Drosophila melanogaster: one gene and its partner. The protein of the gene in region 2 binds, or shares a complex with, the protein of the main gene of each other region. Each region holds a gene or a part of one and is shown on either strand. Other genes may lie near its edges.

Region 1 (5,138 bases), on a different chromosome or scaffold from region 2:
GTACGATGATGAGGAACCCGATGTGGGCGTTGGCGAAGCCTCTCCGGATGCGGAAGAAGCCACGCCACCTAACTACGATCCGGAGACGCAGCGTTTGATCCAGCAGGCCAATGAGGCGCGAAATGCTCTCGAGGAAGTGGAGCGCAGCCTGCGCGAGATTCAGCAGGAGGTTAACGAGATCGACGACCAGAACAACAAGGGCTACGGCCTGACCGAGGAGTGGGCCGTGCACGATGGCCAGTGCTACAATTTCGAAGATCGGGAGTATGTGTACACCCTTTGTCCCTTCGATCGGGCCTCCCAGAAGTCGAGGAGCGGTGGGCCTGAAACCACGCTGGGTCGCTGGGACAAATGGAGTGGAGAGCCAAAGCAATATTCCCAACAAAAGTACACCAATGGTGCTGCCTGCTGGAATGGTCCAAACCGTTCGGCCATCATCAACATTAGTTGTGCCCTGGAACCCAAAATCACTGCCGTCAGCGAGCCCAATCGCTGTGAATACTACTTTGAATTCGAAACTCCCGCCGCCTGCGACAGCGAAGCTTTCCAGTCCGAATCGGAGAATCTGCACGACGAACTCTGAAATGTTCAACAATCGACGATGAGGATGAGCCGCAGAGAAATGTGAATGCTTGGCATGCGTAGACCAGAGATTTGGGGATTGTATTTTAGTTTTAAAGGAGAATATCAATTTTGTCGAGATCATTCCCAAACTGCAGCAGGAAAACCATCAAGAATTGTAGCTAATTAACTCAGTATATGCATTTAAGCAAAAAGTACATCAAGTTTCATTCTGAATAAAGTGTAAACACCTAGTATTTTTAAAACAGATAACATCACTGAATGAAAATGTTGATTTAAAGTCGGTTTCCTTGAGCTCAAACATACAAATATTTTACTTTCGTGATACTTGAGCACAGACGATTTCAAGGTATAGGGAAAAGTATATTATAATTGAGAAACTATATGAAGAAATTTAATTGAATGTACACATTTTAGGCAGCAAGAATTTTTCATTTTAAATAAAGTGTCAATAGTTTGCATATTTGATATTGTTGCCAAAACGGAGGACTCGGAACTTTGTTCATCTTTGAGATCACCCTTCGCAGGATATGAAATAAATTCCCGGAATAGTACAATGGTGAGTTGAGATTTTTAAAAACTCATTCTGTTCTCAATAAAGTATGTATGTATAAACATTTAGTAAATATTAAAAATATGCATATTACAAGGTAGACTAACTTTAGGCCTCGGTGACAGCCTGTTTAATGTCCTCCAAATAGCCATCGACCTGGTGCTCCAGTGCGAGAATGTGTCCCGTGTTACAGTTCTCCGCGCCCACAAAGGTCAGGATGAGCGGCAGCTTGTTCATCTGGACCACCTGGTAATTGGAGTACATGGAGATGATGGTCTTGTTTCTGCCCAATCCCAGTTTGCTGGCCTGATCGCAGGCGGTGGTGAATGTGGGTATGAACGAGGGCATCAGGGCGAAGTCCACGTTCTTCTCCTGGCTAACCCGCAGGAGGGGCACTCCGTCGCGATCCGTAATCTGAATAACGTACAGCCCGCTGACCCTTTTGTGTAAATCGGGGAATGGGGGAAAAATTATAAGTTAATCATATTGGGAACAGCCTTTCCTGTGGAATATTTACTTTTGCAGCAGGCCGTCTAAATACTTCTTGATGTCGTCCGACATGGAAAATTTGTTAAAGCGAAAGACTAGAGAAGGTATGGCAATAATAATACGTTTTTCTCCGCATCCAATTATTTACACAAAACAAAGTGAGCAACAGCTGCCTCAAGTTATCGATAAGTTCATGTGGCAGGGGCGTAGTCGGCGGTCGAAGTAAAATATTTTCAGCAAGCGGAAAAAGGATGCGGCTAGTTTTTAACATTATTATTTAAATATTATATTATTAAGCTATCACGCAATACTTTATATAGTTTTTTAGAAACCCCTTCAAAAAATTCAATCCCCGCTCAACTGGAAATTTATCGATTACAGCCTGTTTTTGGTTGCGTGGAAAAACAGTTTGTTTGCAATACGTAAAATTGCTGCAAGTAATGGAAATAAAAGTGTAATACCAGCTTATAATTCGTATTACCATAGATTAAAACCTTCTGCATCATGGTGACTGGAGACCCGGTAGCGACAAAGACCCCAAACGCAGCGGATTCGGATGATAATGACTTTACCGCATCCATGTCGCACCTGACCATTGGCCAGCAAATCCAGGAGCTGTCCAAGCAACTGCAGAACACGAAGGAGGAGCTGCACCAGCAGGTGCGCGACAAGCACGGAGCTCTACTGCAGCAGGCCACCCACGCTGGGCGCTTCGATGCGGCTTTAAACGCGCTCGCCGAGGATGTGCAGCGGGTCAGGGAAACTGGGCACCGGCTGAAGAACCAGGTGGACACGCAGTACCAGCAGGTGGAGAACCAAACGCAAGTGCTAGGGCGTCTGCACGATGTCAGTCACCTACTCCGCTCGGCTGGAACATTGCTGAGCCTCACGGCCAAACTAAAAGCGACCAAGGATGTCCTACGCCTGGCCGAAATCCACTTTGAGTTGGGCCAACTCATCGAAGATAAGGAGCTAAAGGACATTGATTTTATCCAGCAGGAGCGAGCTTATGTGATCAGCTCTGCTCAGAAGATAAGGAACCTCACGCAGATGCAGTTGGTCACTGGGCTCCAGGAGCGCAATGAAAACCAAGTGGTTAATGCCTTGAAGGTGGATATAACAAACATTTTTCTAGCATATACCTAAGAGTTCTTATTCCTTAGATCTTTATGAATTTCAATACGCTGGAAAAATCGCTGGATAACCTATTGGCCACCTTTATTGCCGACATGGAGCAATCTCTGAAAGAGTGCTTTGCTGGCAACGATATATCTGTGCTGAACAAGTCCCCGACGCACAATGTGAGCAAACCTGCTCCCTCGAGGGGACCAGGAAAAACTCCCCAGTTGACAACCACTCAAAACTTCCGTGCCAAGTTCTGGAAGTCTCTTCATTGGCTGCTCTATGATGAACTTTTTGAGACTTGCACGCAAATCAAGCTGCTGAAAACGGCTCTCGAGCAGATCAACCAGTTTGGCTATACATCAGAATCATCGGATCAGTGCATTCCGCAGCGTTTTTGGCAGCAGGTGCAGCAGCTCCTGCGAAAATCCTTTGACGAATGCCCCCAGCATGTTACGCAGACCCTTCAGGAGGGGCTCTCAAAGCTCCTGACCTCCGCTCGTGGCTTGGAGCAGCGTCTGCATGGCGAGTTTCAGTTTGACAACGAACTATTTGCTCCCCTGGAAGTGGGTTACGTTAGCAAGTGTGCTGCCAACTTTAAGGCATGTCTGGCGGGAGTCGATTTGCCCGGCAACGAAACGGTGGACAACTTTATTCGTGTGGCATCAACGGAGCTCAGTGCTGCTTTGATCGATTCCCGTCTCACGAATGCCATAGCAAATGTATTTGCGGCCTGTGGAAAAGAGTTGTGCACAAAACTAGAGGCTCAAATCAAGCTGGGAGCTGATTCCAAGCAGGTCGTGGATCTGCCCAATCTGCAGCAGCAGCAAAACACCCAGCTGGCGAATGTTCTGTTCTACTATAAGGATTCAGTGCGTCGCATGCTCAGTGATCTTCATGTGCACTTTGAAAAGACACCGGGAACAGCTAGGGAGATTATATCCCGATCCTTGGAACAGGCTGATTTACTGATCGGCACCATTCTACAGCAGATAATGGAGTCGATTATCACGACCATTAGCATCATTGTATTGAGTATGCACAGGGAGCCGGGATTGAATTCGGAGAGGATGTCTACCACAGGTCCGTCGATGTACATGAAGGAACTGCAGGTGGGTGGGAATTTGAATGTAATACTTGGCTAGTCATATGTCTCAATCAAACTATTAGGAGTTCGTCAACCGATCCTGGTCGCATCACATCGCCCTGTTCGATGACAAGCAGATGACGAAAAAGTGCGGACACGAGTTGGCCAAACGTTGCATTGAGCTCTTCCTGCACAATGTGTGCATTCTGCGACCTTTAAGCTCCTGCGGAAGGCAGCGTTTGAAGCAAGACTGTCAACACATGGAACAGGCGTTGAAACCTCTTTGCCCAAATCTCGCCGAGCTGGGAAAGCCGTCGCGTCTGCTAAGAGCCATGTCCTTGCTGATCGTCCAAACGGCCGAGGAGCTGGTCAAGCAGACAATCGGCGAGGACTCTCTAGTGCCCAGTTACATAGTGCTGTTGCTGCTCTTCGGACACGCTGGAGCAGATCTGCAGTCGCCACACACGACGGCCAACTGGTCCAATGAGCGGCTGATCGAATGGCTGGATGGGCACACGGCTGAACGGGAGAAACTAGAGCTGATCTCGGGGGCACTGCAACGGTATCGGGACAATGCCAGGCGAAAGAACATTCAGCAGTACGACGAAGTTTACCCCATGATGGTAGATTATTTTGAACAGGCCTTAAAGGCACTTCCATAAATGTCTAATGTATTATGTATCTAGAACTATGTATGTATGTATGTAAGAGCACGAATATGTTTGGAATAAACATATGCATGGCATCCTTCTATTAAATCATTGTACTCAGTTCCTTCCGCTAAATGAAGCTAATGAGTTTCTTAGAATAACTTATTGAGTGGAATAATGATAGCAGTGAGAACTTGAGGCTAGAGGCTTAAAATTGAAATTATGCGAGGTTGTGTCATATTGTCATTTGATTAAATTAATTTTGGTAGGCAGTTTTGGCTGGCGCTATATGAATAAATGGAATTCCATGGTTAATATAAATGATACTGGTACTTACTCAAAAGACACATTTTGGAAGATGTTTCGTATTAAAAGAATAATTCTTACTTATTCGTCATTAACATTAAGAGGATTTCAAATAAAAATATATCACTACATCGTTTGGAAATAGTTCCTCCGGAATATCGGTATTTATATATTTTTCACATTTATATCGATTTGAAATAGGCATTCAAAACAACGGTAGTAATAACTTTTTTAAACTATCGATGCGTATTCAGAATAACGGTACTAATAACTTGTTCTAACTATCGATGTGTATTCTGAATAACGGTAGTACAAATTTTTCCCAACGGTATATCGATATCCATCTGGG
Region 2 (7,908 bases):
CTCCCATGAACTTCGCCTCAAAAAGCTGCGTATAAAAGCTGTTTTCCTCGGTTGTATTTCGATCGGCTCGTCGACGAGTGCGAAAAAGCTTTCACTACCTCGATCGCAACCGGCACCACGGGCTTGGGATCAGTTGGCGACGGAATGCAGCAGCTGATCAGAGTGGCGCGGACGTTGGGTGAGGAACTGGGTGATTCCCGGCTGACTGGATGATCGATTTGCCGCCTCCGTCTTTGCAGGTCAACGCTCGAGCGGCGCATGGAGTGCGAGGATAATCGCTGGTGGAAACCGGGGAATCGCATGCCTGGCCGCCCTCTCCGAGACCCACCAGATTCTCCAGAAGACTTGCCGGGAGTTCGCCAATGCGGAACTGGCCCCCAAAGCGCGACACCACGACCGGGAGGAGCTTTATCCGGCGGAACAGGTCCGACGGTTGGGAGAACTCGGTCTCATGTCAGTGACGGTTCGAGAGGAGTATGGTGAGTTCCTATTTCAATTATAATATTTACAATATTTACATAACATAAAATATGTGATGTTTTCATTTTTGAAATGGTATATAAATAGATCATACTACTAGATTCCATTCATTAAATATTGATTTTTCAGGTGGTTCCGGATTGGATTACCAGGCCTACGCGATTGGCATGGAGGAGGTGGCTCGTGGTGACGCCGCCGTGTCCATTGTGATGGGCGTGAATAACCTGTACCTGGGTGCAGTGCAGCAGCATGGAACCGAGCAGCAGAAGCAGGATTTCCTGGTGCCGTACACCCAGGGTGAGCACATCGCCTTCTATGCACTATCGGAACCTGGAAACGGATCGGATGCAGGAGCTGCCAGCACCACGGCCAAGCTGCAAGGGGACAGCTACCAAATAAACGGCACTAAAGCGTGGATATCAAACTCCAAGGAGGCCAGCGGGGGTATCGTCTTTGCCACGGTGGACAAGAGCATGAAACACAAGGGAATCACTGCCTTTCTTACGCCCAAGGATGTTCCAGGACTCTCCATAGCCAAGAAGGAAAGCAAAATGGGCATGCGCGCGACTTCGACTTGCCAGCTGGTGCTGGAGGACGTTCACGTGCCGCGATCCCGGGTCCTTGGAGCTGCCGGTGATGGCTTCAAGATCGCCATGCAGTCCTTGGACTGTGGCAGGATCGGTATAGCCGCCCAGGCCACCGGTATCGCACAAGCTGCCCTGGAACTAGCCGTGGATTATTCGCAGAAGAGGGTGGCCTTCGGAAAGCATCTGGCACGGTTGCAGCTCATCCAGCAGAAGCTGGCCGACATGGCCACGCGGGTGGAGATCTCAAGGCTGCTAACGTGGCGTGCCGCTTGGCTGAAGGATAATGGGCTGCCAATCACAAAGGAGGCGGCCATGGCCAAGCTGCATGCCTCCGAGTCCGCCACCTTTTGTGCCCACCAGTGCATCCAGATCCTGGGTGGGATGGGGTACACCACCGATCTGCCTGCGGAGCTTTACTACCGCAACGCCCGCGTCACAGAGATTTACGAGGGAACCTCGGAGATCCAAAGAATTGTGATCGCCAACGCAGTGCTGCGGGAATTGGGAAAGGAGTGAAAGCCATTGTTGGTTTTTCTTTATTACTGCTGCCAAACCAATCAGAATTCTTGCTTTTACACTTGTTGTGTATGTAAATTAGTTTATCTATGCCAGACAAATGCATTTAATAAAGTATATTTAAACAAATGAAACCTGGATTTAGAAAAATATCTTTTTTCGATTAAATGAGGTAATTCCCCTAACTATAACTCTTTATGTTATATTGAAATGTAACGGCTTGCACATGACAGCATATCTAACATTTTTACCAACAGAGAAATGTAAACTAACATAAATTTAACAGTCATAGACAGTCATGAGAGAAAATATCGATGTTGCCAGTCATCGATACATAATTCGATTTTATTACAGCTGCTCCCTTGTTATTGTTTTCTTAATTTAAATAAAACTAATTTGACGGCTAAATGACGGCCAATTTGTTAAACCTGAACGTGGACACGCTGTTTGAGCAGCACAGCGTGTCCGAGATAGACGAGGTGCACAAAAAGATCCAGTCGGTGGTGGAGAACAAGCGCGAGGAGTTGCGCACTCATGTCGGGTGAGTGATGTGGCACCTTCAGAAGATTTGCTGCTTAAACATTCTAAATCTTTAAGGGAGCGGTACCGAGATCTTTTGCAGGCGGCTGACACCATTGCTGCGATGCAAACGTCGGCCGGGACACTTATGGAGCAAGTGCGACACGTGCAGGCCAATTGCCGCAGTCTAAACGAGCAGCAGCTCCTGGGCTTCCAGTCAACTGCCAATGCAAGTGCTAAAGATGCCGCACTGAAGGAGAGGAACGCCGGAAAAAAGCTGCAGACCTACTACGGCACCATGGCTCAGATTAAGTTGCTTACTGCCCTGCCGGAACTAATCTGGACGCACTTGGACAACGATCGCTTCTATGCCGCTACTGAGTTGTTCATCTTCAGTCGCCACATCAGCACGGGCTTGCAACTGGACGGCCAGAGTGCCCTGATGCAGAAACTACCGGTAGCGCGCAAGCAATGGGAAATCCTGCGTCCCTTTCACGTGACCATCAAACAAGCCATACTGACCGCACTGGAGAGGGAGGAACTCCTACAAGAAATGACTGTGGACTGCCTGCAGAGCCTTCTCTTGCTAGACAAAAGCGATTTGAGTACTGTGCTGAAATCCTTCTTGAACCTGCGCTCCTCAGCCTTTCTGAACTGCCTGCAAAGCGGTCCATCGGAGCCACGTCGCGTCAAGGATCGCATTTTGGCTAGCTTAAACGTGCTCAACAGCACCGTGGAGCTTCTGGACAAGTGTCTTTTGGGTATGTTTCCATTCGCAGATAGGCACACAACATTATTATTGGAACAATCGGTCTTTTCTCTCGTACAGGTTATAGCCTTCTTTTTAGCCGCTTGGAGGAGTGTGCCTCTTCTACGTGTCCACCCAGCATCAACCGAATGGAGAGTAGCGAGCGCCAGCTGGTTCATCTTTTACCCGAAATCATCGCTGGTTTTAAGCCACAATTTGATGTACCTCAGCTAACACCTGAGCAGTTGGGTTCTTCACTTCAACAATGGCTAGATAAAATGAACGCCTTGGCAGCGGCTCACTTGCAGCAAGTCTTTGCACTAGTCACCAACATGCAGACCATCCAGGACATTAAGTCCGCGGCCAGAACTAATGGTCGACCGGATTTCGTTCGCCTAGAACAGCAATTGCATCTTAAGCGTAGCCAGTTAGACTTCTACGCCAGAAAGTACGTGCCGTTGATCAACGCCAGAGTACGAGAGATAATTCGCAGCAGCTGGGCTTCCGCCATGAAGCTGACCTACGAACAGGTACTATTGCTTATTGAAGCCGGTCAGTCGCAACCGCCTCTACAAATTTGGCGGGAGCAGAGCGATGATTTGCCTTTAAGCTTGGCGGCAGCACTCAGCGATCAACCAAAGCGACTGGCAAATCGGACGAAGGGCTATGACGGCGCAACAATAGAACTGTGTAAACGTTTTGACTCACATCTGGCGGATATCGTACAGGAGCTGAATGTGATGTTACAAGAACAAACGACGAGGGCTGAGGACAAGGTTTCACTTATCGAGTTTCTGCGCGAAACGGCCGAGGAACAGCTGACAGAGTATTTATCCAATTTGAAAGGTTTAGAGCTAAGGGAACGCCCTGCTCTGCTCCTGGCTTTGAGGAATAGTCTCGCCTTGGTCGAGCTGTGCCCCAATTTAAAGTTGTGCTTCTGCCAGCCGTCCAGTTGGCGGCAGTGGACTGACAACTCGGCGGGATTGGGAATTGAGCATTGGCAGCGCATTTGTGGCCTGATCGAAAAGGAGATGCTATCCTTTTGGCTGGTCATCGTTGACGATGTGTTGGCCGGCCACAATTGCGAAGAGAAACTGCCAAAGGTCATTAATCATGAAGTGGTTCTCAGCGACTTTGCGGTAATTATATGGAAAGAAGAAATTTATTTGTAACGTAACATAATTATATTCTTGAGTAGCTTTGGCAGACCTTGACACTGGAACAGCGCGACGAGGACCAGGAGCAGAGTGTTCAGTCAACCATTCGAATCCCCAGTCAGCCGCGACTCTCTCTGCAGACGTATCTTCATCAGCTAATTCAGGCATTGAATTCGGTTGTTCCCCAAACTCTGCCACCCAAGGTATTGCAAGCATTCATTCAGCGGCTCATAGGGAAACTGCTCTGCCACTACGAGGGATTGGCCCACGCGGAATGCACCAAAGCCAGTCAGAATATTGCCCTGCAACTATACTTTGATCTTAAGTTCCTGGAGCGCGTGTTCGCCATTTCACGTGAGGAGAGGACTCTCTACGACCAAATCCACGCCCAGCAGAACCAACTGCGCGACTACATAGATCCCTTTGACTTCGAGCTGTTTGCCGAGCATATAACCGCTCATGTGTCCCGAGCTGCAAGCCGTCTGCAGGGTGAACTGGGAGTGCTTACTCCCTCGGCAGCTGCTCCCAGTCAGGGTGCAGCTGCTGCCAGTTCTTTGGCCCATGAAGCAGATCCCAATGTGCTGTGTCTCAGTTCTTCCGGATCCACGTCGCTGTGGTTCCCGCTGCTGCCCATTGTGATGCCCCAAGCTGCCGGAAGAGTTACTAGCGCAGAGCGGAAATCTCCGATCCAAGAGCCAGTTGAGAAAGTGAGTATAAAGTGTGATGATATAGAGGGCTGTCGGTGTTGGCTTCAAGAGTATAAGCTTTACTATTTGGTGGTGTATTTAAAATTCTAAATTGATTAGCTGAAGCATTAAACCGACAGCCCTAATAGATATAAAGTTTATCTTTTACCAACTTTATCAAGTTATAATGCTACGTTCCCATGTTTCTTTCCTAGGATTTCTATCGACTGCATTCCTAAGTCAATAGTTTCAACATTTGCTCTGGTTGGGTAGGAATGTTATTTGATTGTTGATACTTTGTTATCATTCCTCGTTTGCATGCTGCATGATATTGATTGTTTAGCCAATACTTATTAAGAGTGAGCAAAATAGCCGCATTGCTCTTATTAAGTGCTTCATTTCCAAATTTGAAAACCTCTTCAAGCTGAAGCAGCAGTTTAATTAAACTAATTTGGTCCATCCAGCAATAAATAAACCAGAATGCCGCAAGACAAATTTTAATTAGGTGCAACTTTCTGCCGCCATTTCCCAACCACTCCTCCCTACTTCGTCCGCAAGTGGTTGGCAAAAGTTTCGCTTGAAACCCAACCCGAAATTTCCAAGTGGATGGCCAGAACATCGGCAGAATGATTATGTATATATTACGGGCGCGTATACGAGTGCCTTAGATGGTAATTAATGAATCGCTGCAATTATTGAAATCAAATCGCTGGGCAAATGTTAATTTATGGCAGTGGCTACTTGGCCGTTACTCGCATGTTTTGTAATTAGCTGCGATCTCCGCCGGTATAAATCGTTCTCTAATTATGTTTGCTTTCCATTTGTTGCTGTTCGCTGCTCGCTATAAATCTGAGAGTCCAGCGGCAAATTAACAGATTAATCAGACAAACTACCAATTAATAGTACTAATTAATTAATAACATCTCCCATTTTATCCCTCTATCTCAGACGGCGACAACGACGCCGACGAGGAAGTCGGGTGGCAATGGAGCCCGCAAGGGAGACAGCAGCAAATCCAAATCGAGCGCAGCTTCCTTCTTTGGGATGTCCCAGGAGTGGTTTCGCTAGAGGATTCAAATCAAGTGGCCTGTGAAGTGCATTCGAGCGGAATGCGGATGGGATGCTCTTCTATTGTTAAGCTTAACCTACATAAATATATCCGAACGTACTTGTAGTAGAAGAGGCGGGCAGCGCCCAGTAAATTGTAAGAAAGTCACATACATTATAGAGATACTCGTATATACACCCTGATATCACTTTTAATTTCAACTTAACTCTAAATTTGTAATTTTTAATGCGCTTTGATGTTGCCACGGTTGCTATTTCTTGCCTCCCTTCTTGCCACCGCCTGCGGCTGCCTTTTGGTCTTGTCCTTTCTTGGCTCCACCTTTGTCACCGCCGCCTCCATCGCCGCCTTTGTTTTTATTTCCGGAGCCACCTCCGCCGCCGCCTCCGCCACCACCGCCGCCCTTTTTCTGTGGGCAAAGAAACACGGAAAGATTTCGCTTTGAGCTGGGACCGAGCAAATAACGAGCCACGGTTGTTTAAGGTTGCCCAGCGAAGTCAGTAAATGAGAAAAAGGTTAGTTGTGCCAGGATTGCAATGGGGGGACCCTTGTTCCAAAGCACCAGGAGTTCTCTAATTACATACAGCAGCAGCTATTATCCGCATGATAAAATGTAATCTAACCATTATTTGTGGTCTACAATAACGTATTAATACAGGTAGCACGAAACACCTTCCTAAAAAACTGTATGCAAGGCTTAATCTCAAAGTTAATAGTTCTAGTGCACTAAAGTTTTTTTTTTTAATTTGGCAATGCTTTTATAAATTTATGTTTAGAAAGTTGGTCAACGAATTATTTTAAAATTGTTGGAAAGTAGGGATAAAGTTAAATATTGTTAAATTGCTACTTGGAAGTTTGGTGGGACCATGAGCTGAATGAGCTGGCACTAAGATGAGGATTACAAGTAGTTAGACTCACAATTAGAACGCAAGTTGCATAACACAAATATTGCTTACATTGCCCCCGCCTCCACCACCGCCACCTCCTCCTCCACCGCCGCCGCCACCACCCTTATTTTTGCCCATTCTATCAACTTCTTGGGAAGGCAATTATTTTATTTATTTGGTTTAGTTTGCGGTGCTTGCTGTTGGCTTTGGCTAGAGTAAACTTATGCCAGAGCTGGCAAATTGCAACTAATAAGCATCGCCATTGCCGCACAGCGAAATACATGAAATTAAATCATTTGGCCAGAAAAAGAAGGCCAAAATGAACGTTGAGAGCAAAACACAAAATGCGCAACAGCCAAAGGCGGAAGGGAAAGGCGCCAATGAATTTGGGCGGCAATGGGAGAGGGGAATGGGTTGATTGCGATGACCAGGGGGATTTGGCTCCGGGTAGAGGAGACCTGGCTGCAATGGCCAATGGCTCTTAACTGATTTAATCACCGCCCGGGCACCTCTCTTTGCGGCCGGAAGAAATGGGAAGTGTTTCTCTTGCGGCGACCGTTGGATTATTTTGTAGTGCTTCTCCTCCATCGCTTTTTGGCTCTTTGCTTCCGATTGCGATTTCGATTCTGTTTCTGTTTCGGTTTCGCATTTGCATTTGGCCATATGCGCCCATGGCCATGGCATTGACATTGGCCACCTCTCGCATTTCTGGTCTGCGGCCAATGGAAGGCAATACGTCGGTAATCCCACGGCTCACTCGCGAATCCCACGGATACGGACAGTGCAACAAGATGCTATTTATAGATGCAACGCGAATTGATGGTGGTGATAGCCTAGGCCAAGAGAGATTTTGGCGGATTTCAATCGGAAAGAAATGGCCCAGAAGGCGATTGAAAGCGCTAATGTATGCAGAAAGGGAAGAACAGGAAGATTGAATGAGGGAGATAAACCAAGGAACGGTAGAATTGATTATGGGTCTAGGGAAGTAATTTAATTGGAGACTATGGGCAACCTAAAAAAAAGTTAATCAGCACAGATATGCCATTTAATCTCCATCGCACTTTCTTATGTATAATATCTGATTTTTATTATTTGCATAGACTTGTTTAAAGTTGTAATATAAGTATATTGAACATATTTAATAAAGCTTACCGAATAAACTATGCATATGAATAACTTATCCGACTGTTCCTATGGCCGGTATATACATATATCATATATCTGGTTTTGATTATATAATAATCATATATTTATAATTATCT

The links.
Region 1: Cog1 (region 2) and fws share a complex: the UniProt entries of both Drosophila melanogaster proteins name them as parts of the conserved oligomeric Golgi complex.

What each region holds. Positions count from the first base shown.
Region 1 is NT_033779.5:17,477,892-17,483,029, reverse strand, and holds fws (four way stop), read left to right. Parts: upstream 1-2,000; 5' UTR 2,001-2,061; exon of another isoform or gene 2,062-2,110; 5' UTR 2,111-2,128; coding exon 2,129-2,734; intron 2,735-2,787; coding exon 2,788-3,858; intron 3,859-3,916; coding exon 3,917-4,495; 3' UTR 4,496-4,588; downstream 4,589-5,138. Other genes in the region: GCS2beta (glucosidase 2 beta subunit), read left to right, coding at 1-583; Lamtor3 (late endosomal/lysosomal adaptor, MAPK and MTOR activator 3), read right to left, coding at 1,244-1,574, 1,653-1,696. UniProt on the Drosophila melanogaster protein: Required for normal Golgi function and necessary during spermatogenesis. Required for cleavage furrow ingression during cytokinesis in dividing spermatocytes and for the extensive polarized cell growth that accompanies spermatid elongation.
Region 2 is NT_033777.3:12,213,687-12,221,594, reverse strand, and holds Cog1 (component of oligomeric golgi complex 1), read left to right. Parts: upstream 1-1,908; 5' UTR 1,909-1,990; coding exon 1,991-2,124; intron 2,125-2,180; coding exon 2,181-2,863; intron 2,864-2,931; coding exon 2,932-3,989; intron 3,990-4,048; coding exon 4,049-4,714; intron 4,715-4,908; coding exon of another isoform or gene 4,909-4,932; exon of another isoform or gene 4,933-4,962; intron 4,963-5,641; coding exon 5,642-5,761; 3' UTR 5,762-6,012; coding exon of another isoform or gene 6,013-6,168; 3' UTR 6,169-6,715; coding exon of another isoform or gene 6,716-6,784; 3' UTR 6,785-7,803; downstream 7,804-7,908. Other genes in the region: CG4860 (uncharacterized protein), read left to right, coding at 145-178, 240-479, 610-1,583; CG14742 (uncharacterized protein), read right to left, coding at 6,013-6,168, 6,716-6,784. UniProt on the Drosophila melanogaster protein: Required for normal Golgi function.